2 linked regions of the Bombyx mori genome follow. Each later gene encodes a partner of the first gene's protein in a complex. Links are inferred from orthologs where the notes say so. Each region holds a gene or a part of one and is shown on either strand. Other genes may lie near its edges.

Region 1 (4,283 bases):
TTTTTGAATACTTTACAGTTTTCATGGTCACTGACGATATTTTAATGATGATGTTTTCTTGATTACGATCTTGATGATGACAATAAAAACCGCGAGATTATACCTTAACAGTAGTTTTAATTACTTAAAAATGTTCTTAAAGTTTTTAAACTTATATTATCAAAAGATTAGAACTATTTTTCATATGTTTACTGTACGAGTAATCACTGAAAATACTTTATAAAAATATATTTCACTTTCATCAATGTACTAATTTGATCAATAATGAATAAAGGTTATACCTACCGTCCTTGAACGAAGATAATAAAAATTGCGAGATAATATACTTTCCAAAGTAACTTTTTTGACTGCATTTCAGTTAATTTATTTTGAATTAATTGAAGCGTGACGTGTACAACCATTGAGTGAATTTTGATGATATTTTAAAATAAAACAAGCCACGCCACAGCGCCTTTAGTTGTGTGAGATCTGAATTTAAATACATAAAACATATAATAAAATCTCCGTGCTAACCTGCCTGAGAGACTTTGCTAACATCTACTGTAGCAAGAGTAGTGCTTTATTGAATTTATTGCCGGATCAGAATCGCGACCTACTGATAAGATCCGGTGAGAAACTCAAGGGTTGTGTCTGTGGGTTAATGTATAGTTGTGGTGTCACGGCGGAGCACACGTTCGCATACTGCCCCGCTTTCGCGAAGCAGCGCCGCACCCTCGTTGCAAAAATAGGTCCGGACTATGTGCGGCAGCGACGAGCCCTGGCAGGCGATGCTCGACTTCTGTGAGTCCACCATCATGCAGAAGGAGGCGGCGGAACGGGGAGAGAGAGCTCTTCTTTCCTCTCGGCGCCGGGCCACCGCCACCGAGCCGGGAATTGGAGGAGGGTGTTCGTCCAGCTCCAACCCCTGTGAAGAAGCAGTCTCCTCCCGGTGATGTTCACGGGGCGACCTGAGGTAGTCGAGGTTGCGCCACACGCTATTGTCACTGTAGCGTGCTGGCATGTGACGACGCATCTTCGGAAGCGGTCCGCGATGCGGTCCGCATTGCCGTCGTCGCTGTCGTCGTCGAACATACTGTGGAAGAGCAACCGTATAAGGGGCAGGGGAGTCGTTTAGTGCGGTAGGGTCCTTAAATAATTTTGGACCTACGGTCTGCTTCCAACATCTGCAGATCGTCAAGTCTCATATACCCTGCGTGCCCCCTAGGCGGGGGAACCTCATGGGAGGTTCAGCCCCCGGCCCCAAAAAAAAATTATGTTGTTATGTATGTACGACCGTTCTTGTGATTGATCATTCCCGATCTCGAGATTATATTTCATCCCATATCATCTCATTTCATTTCATTTCACTCCATATAATTATCATTTTTCATAAAAATAAGAATATTATAAATTAATATAAGACATGACCTAAAGATCTTAGTTACCAGGTCATAAAATCCCTTAAAAAAAAGTAAGGCGGTAAGGTCGATTGACGAACGACGATTTTGTTTTTATTTTGAAACCGTGAGCGGAATAATTGTCAATTTGTTATACATAATCACAAATTGTGTTGTGATCTACCTTTATTATGGAAAATTGGTCAATGGAGACACCATCAAGAATAAACGCTGAAAATATACCTCAAACCATAACTCAAAATCCGAGTGAACTTACATTGGGTTCGGCGTGTACAGAAAACGCTTTTCAATATCCAGCATTATTTACAAGCAAAAGCTTTCTTGAATTGTCCACTTGCTCGTGGTCAAGGGGTCGTAATGCTAATGAGAATATACAGCCTTATTTACGTGGATGTAAGTGGTCCCCAGATGGAACCTGTTGCTTAAGTGTTGTCAATAACGATGGTGTTCATGTTACCGAGCTTCCTAGTGAATTGTACCAGGGCGTTGTTTGTGGCGATCGTATAATCGATGTCTTAGAATCAGTGATACATTTAAAAGAAACAGGTTCAGTTTACGACTTCTGTTGGTACCCATTCATGAACAGCACAAATCCCCCTTCCTGTTGGTGAGTGAGATTTAAAACTCAATATTTGGTCTACAATGGAATTGATGTAAATATAAAATATCGTTACTTAAATATCAACCAATCTAAAAATTAAAAAAATGCTCAGTGCCTTATGACAAAGGTGTACAACCAATGTGTTTTACCAGTGATGACGTACGGTTCTGAGATATGGTGTTTCACAAGGGAACTTTTTAAGAAGCTTAGTGTCACACAGCAACCTATAGAGAGGGCTATGTTTGGTATTTCTTTATGAGATCGAATCAGAAATGAGGAGATCCATAGAAGAGCCAAACTTGTTACATAGCCCTAGGATTAGCAAGCTGAAGCGGCAGTGGGAATGCCATATAGTACGAAGATTGACAGCCGATGGGGCAGAAAAATCCTTAAATGGAGACCACGTACTGTCAAGTGCAGTGTGCCGTGTACCAGATGGGCTGATGACATAGTGGACATCAGTAGGAGAGGCCTATGTTCAGCAGTGGACAGGCTGAGATTATGATAAAATATCAATTTTAGTTTGTCAGTAAACATAATTTCTCTTCCTTTAAAATAAGGAGCTGAAATAGATTTCTTAAGAAATGCCTAACTTTCATGTAACTCAATAATTTTATTGACAGCTGGTTAACAACAAAACAAAATTCTCCCATACAAATGTGGGATGCATTTGATGGATCACTCAGATGTTCATACAGAGGATTCAATGCAGTAGATGAAATGGAACCAGCTTTATCAGTTAGCTTTACCTCAGATGGTAGAAAAATCATTGCTGGCTATAAGAAGCATTTAAGAATTTTTGATGTTGAGCGGTAATTCTTCATTATCAAATTTATCTTAAAACTTTAATTTCATGCTCAGTGTGGGTATTTAAGCAAAGCTTAGACTTGCTAATAACTACTTTATATCAAGGCAGGAAGCTTTTATCGTATCTATACTAATATAAAGAGAATTTGTTGTATGGAAGTAAAATCTTTTAATATACTCATTAAGTTAGTAATGTGCTCAAGATAGACAATTTTTTTATTTCTTTGATTGGTATACAACTAGGTTTTAAGTGATTACTAGAGCTCATAGACTTCAACAACATAATTGTTGCAATCCTGCCTGAGTTCTAGGTCTATTTTATTTGCTTGTATATTAATCAGTAAATTTTTTAGGCCTGGCAGAGAATTTACTGAGCAAAAGATTTCTAGTTCAGCATCTAGCATTTCAACACAAAATAACTTAGTTGCTGTTGGTTCTTGGAATACAACAATAACTTTGTATAATGAATCAGAAATTGGTACTAAGAAAATTGGGGACATGTATGGACATGGAGGTAAATAGCACTGAATAATTGGTGTAACGTTTGTTACATATTGTTATATATATACCCAATACCTATATATACCTAATCCAGCCATAAGTTCTGTTTCAAATGAAAATGTTTTTTTTTTAATGAAGTAAAAAGAAATGAAGTCAGCAAAAAATAAAGAAAAATATTCTACTTGAAATGGCCACCTTTGGCTTTTATACAGGCCTTTAATCTGTTTGGCCATGAAACTATGAATTTGCGCACTGTTTCCAAGGGAAATTTCACTGCTTGCTCCAAAGGTTTTTTAAGACTCAATGTCGCTGTATCGCTTAGAGCAGGCCATGTTCTCTAAAACTGACCATAATTTCAAGTCTAATGGTTGAGGTCTGGGCTCGGTGAGGCTGGACTTCAGCTCTTACAAAGTCTGGAACATTGGTTTCAAGCCAGGCTTGGGTAGTTCCTGCCTTGTGACCAGGTGCAGAGACATGCGGGCCAGTCCACAGTATATTTTTAAAAAGTGTATTGCTGAGAGGTTTTACAGCATAATCCAAGACATGGATACATGGACAATGATACACATTGACTGAAGTTTTCACTTTCTTTTTCACAAAAATATAGCTTGTGATTCCTTGATAAGACACGCCCCACCAAACCATCACTGATGCAGGATGATGACCACTTTGTACCTTTCCTACCATTTCAGCAGCTTCTTTAGAACTGTGAGTGTACACTTTATCATTTTGTTTATTGCAGTGTTCTTCAATAGTGAAATTTTTTTCATCAGTAAAGAGAATATTTCTGTGCCTTTCACCTGCATATCGCATCAAAAGGCATTTTCATTTATCCAATCACTTTAATTATAAAGATTGATTTAGGGTATATCCTGCGAGCTTCAGGTCTTGTTTTATAATACGCGACAGAGTCCTATCGGGAATCTTCATTTCTCGCTATAAGATATTTTGCTGCCTAATTCGACGGATTCTGGCTT
Region 2 (3,615 bases), on another chromosome or scaffold:
AATGTCAGATGAACAGAAAAATCCGTAAAAGTCCTAATTAGCCAAGAATGTCAGTAAACGTCACTTTGATTTTGTCAAAATAGTAGTAGTTTCACTTTTCCAACTGGAGAGGCGAAGATTTCACACCTTAGAGCCTAATCTTTTGCAATGAAATGAAGATAATTAATTTGAGATATTAATCAATTAATATGAACTTAAATATAATGAGATTATATGGGATGAATTAAAAGTCGCAGTAAAATCAGTGGAATTTTTGGAAGATCCTGAGAAGATAAGTCCGTCCCACTTGTACAAATACGAAACACTTAATATAATGGTTATATATGGTTATATTTTAACCATTAATACACATTCAAACCTGAAGGAACAATAAAACAATGCACACAATTTCGCTTCTCGCCCTATCGCCAAAAAGTCTTTCTAGTTTTCTTGCGGCTGAAGTAGATTTCTCGGGTCAGAGTGTTTGGTTTTTTTCTATTGTTCGCAGGGAAGAAGGATCCATCTGACATAAGTAGTCGCTCAACAATGCCAGGGCCACAACACTCACAACCAAGCTGCTGCCTGCGGTTTTAGTTGCGGATAATACATTCGAAGAATAGTTTGTGCTCTTTGTTGGATAATGTAGACGAGCCCACCTAGTATCAACGTGCTATCAAAGCCCACTATTTTAGAGATTAGCGTTCATTAGTAGAACTATTCTTATGACTGCTTTTAAATTGTTAACGTATTAATTACTTTCTAGCAATGAATATACCACATGAAGCAGCAATGACTTCTTCATTTTTAGTCAACACTCATTGCACGTAAAATACTGATCTGTCTGTATCTATAATCTCACAATTATATGCCTTGTAACGCTCTTACTTAATGGCTAGTCCTATCAGCGTAATCATTTCGAGGGATGACAGTTTTATTTAGTTTCAGAAAAGAAATTACTGGCACTCTTCTGAGATTAAGCGAAGCACCTCGGACCTCTAAACGTGATTGCTGGTTCACTTGTCAGAAATTATAGTTATTATTATTGACACGAGGTAGTAGGCGATATTTCCGCACCTTGTTCAATAATTTAGTTAATGAACAATTTAATGTTGTATTAGTACGGTAAAGGCCAAAGTTCGACGATTTTCATAGTTTATAATATGCTAAATTGCTATTTCATAACACAAAAAATATTATTTTATAGTTTTTTTTTTAAAAGAATTTACGAACCACGAGATAAAACCGCAAAAGTATGTAGTTTTAATTATGCAGAACATCAGGTAAAGACGATCCAAACCGCAAAAATTATAATTTGCTTAATTACAATTGGTAGGGACGAATCAATAGCTAGATAATACTACGTTTGAAGGGCAGGATAGACGTGTAGGTGAGCTATATAGGTAACTATATAATTGAGACTGCGACCTCATGTCCCAAAAGGGGCGGCAGTATTGTCGTTGCGATGTCAAGGGGCTTCAGTAACCACTAACACTAGGTTTACCGTGCTCACCGTTCTTAGTAACAGAAATAACAGCGTGGATGTCTTTCGCTTTGTCATTCGGTAGTTAGGTGTATCATCTATGACCGCACCTTCATTCTCAAATAGGTATGTAAAATTCTAATTTATCTGACTTTGTGGCGGGAACGCGAGGAGTGAAGTTGTGTGATTTGTTTTATTTTGTCTATTTAATGTTTCTTCATGTTTAAATGTGTAACAGCGGTGGTTTATTAACTGCTTAGTATCTGTGAAAGTGCACAAATGTGGGAAAATCAAACAAAGCCGCTCAACGTAACTTCTCGGAATCTTCCAAAAAGTCCACTGAAAAAATCTCAGTAAATGACCACCATTTTGCTGAGATTATATTTCATACCATATCACCTCATCTTATTTCATTTCATTTCACTTCATACCTATTATCATTTTTCATAGAAATAAAATAAAAATTAAAATAAGGCTTGACCTAAAGGTCTTGGTCCGAGTCATAAAATCCCTTAATTTCTTTTATCTCATTTATCTATGCCTTCATTCATAAACTTGTCAAAACTTCGTGCATGTTGTGAATTGCGACAATACGCATAGTTTGAGGTTATAAATAATAACTTTGGTAATTGTTAATTAAAACATGTCGTTCCGCGGTAGAGGAGGCGGCGGTGGAGGACGTGGTGGATTTGGAGGCCGTGGTGGATATGGCGGCGGAGGAGGACGAGGCGGTGGCGGAGGGCGCGGTGGCCGTGGTGGATTTGGCGGAGGCCGCGGTCGAGGGGGTGGTGGTGGCGGAGGTCGTTACCAAGATGCTGGACCGCCCGAGGCTGTTATTCCGCTCGGACATTATGGTTGGACCGTTCAAGACGATCTAGTCTGCAAAGTAGACATTGAAGACGTGCCGTATTTCAACGCGCCTATATTCCTCGAAAACAAAGAACAAATCGGCAAAATTGACGAGATATTTGGCAATCTACGAGATTACTTTGTGTCAGTCAAATTAGGAGAAAATGTCAAAGCCAAGAGTTTCAAGGAAGGGCAGCAATTTTTCATTGATCCCGCGAAGTTGCTACCTTTGAAAAGATTTTTGCCACAACCGCCTGGGGCAAAGAGAGGCGCGGGAGGTGGTAGAGGAGGCCGAGGCGGTCGTGGTGGCAGAGGTGGAGGTGGATTTGGTGGCGGCGGCAGCGGCGGTGGATTTGGCAGAGGAGGCGGTGGTCGTGGAGGAGGCGGTGGCTTCGGTAGAGGTGGCGGTGGAGGCTTCGGTAGAGGCGGCGGCGGTGGTTTCGGAAGAGGCGGCGGAGGCAGGGGTGGTGGATTCAGAGGAGGCAGAAGATAGCCCATGGACCTGCAGCAGACCTACAGTGTCCAAAATTCTGTGTATGGATATTTGCCAGGTGTCTGGTATTTTTAAGAAGAAAACTTGAAAGTGTGCGTGAAAAGAAGTTGGATTCCAGATTTAATACATTTTATTACATTTATACATTAAATATATAATAATATGTATAATAAAAAACAACCAAAATATAAATTGTTTAATAACAAAACTGAACATATTTTGCAGATTTAAAGCTAAACTTGTTGCATACACAAACTATCTAGATGTAAGTTAAGTTTAATATAAAATAATATTTTAATCTGGTTTTTATTTTCTTTTTAAAAAACACACCTTGTGCTTATTCTTAATACTTTGATTTCAACAAAATAACGATCAGGTAACTGCTTGTTCAAGGCTCCATAATATTTGCACCAAATACAGTGGTACCTCGAGATACAAGTTTGTTTCATAAGCTTGCTTGATGTCAAATAGCTCGTATCTGAAAGCAAAATATCGCTCGCTCGGCAGCTCATATCTCAAAACACTCCAATATTATACAATAGGCAGCGGCTTTGATACCGTTGTGATGACTTAAAATGTTATTAAAATTCTTTGACTGTTGTCTGAGCTACCAGATTTAAAAAAATGCCAGGCCTGCAAAGAAATAGAAAACATGCTATATATATAAATTTTTTCTATTGTTCATTTGGACACAGTATGAGGAGGATACTAATGCAAAGGTATTCTGTTGCTTGTGGCAAGTTTGTAAAGCAAAACACATTTCGATCAAATCTACTTTGCTTGTATTGTAACAATGTTTTAATATTAGATATTA

The links. Proteins that work in one complex are often made in the same cells at the same time.
Region 2: telomerase Cajal body protein 1 homolog (region 1) and probable H/ACA ribonucleoprotein complex subunit 1 share a complex: the UniProt entries of both Homo sapiens proteins name them as parts of the telomerase holoenzyme complex. The link is inferred for Bombyx mori from reciprocal best matches to the Homo sapiens genes WRAP53 and GAR1.

Annotation. Positions count from the first base shown.
Region 1 is NC_085124.1:10,450,147-10,454,429, forward strand, and holds the start of telomerase Cajal body protein 1 homolog, read left to right. Parts: upstream 1-1,430; 5' UTR 1,431-1,567; coding exon 1,568-2,004; intron 2,005-2,621; coding exon 2,622-2,810; intron 2,811-3,158; coding exon 3,159-3,319; intron 3,320-4,283. UniProt on the Homo sapiens protein: RNA chaperone that plays a key role in telomere maintenance and RNA localization to Cajal bodies. Specifically recognizes and binds the Cajal body box (CAB box) present in both small Cajal body RNAs (scaRNAs) and telomerase RNA template component (TERC).
Region 2 is NC_085110.1:1,087,366-1,090,980, reverse strand, and holds probable H/ACA ribonucleoprotein complex subunit 1, read left to right. Parts: upstream 1-1,614; 5' UTR 1,615-2,102; coding exon 2,103-2,801; 3' UTR 2,802-3,099; downstream 3,100-3,615. UniProt on the Homo sapiens protein: Required for ribosome biogenesis and telomere maintenance. Part of the H/ACA small nucleolar ribonucleoprotein (H/ACA snoRNP) complex, which catalyzes pseudouridylation of rRNA.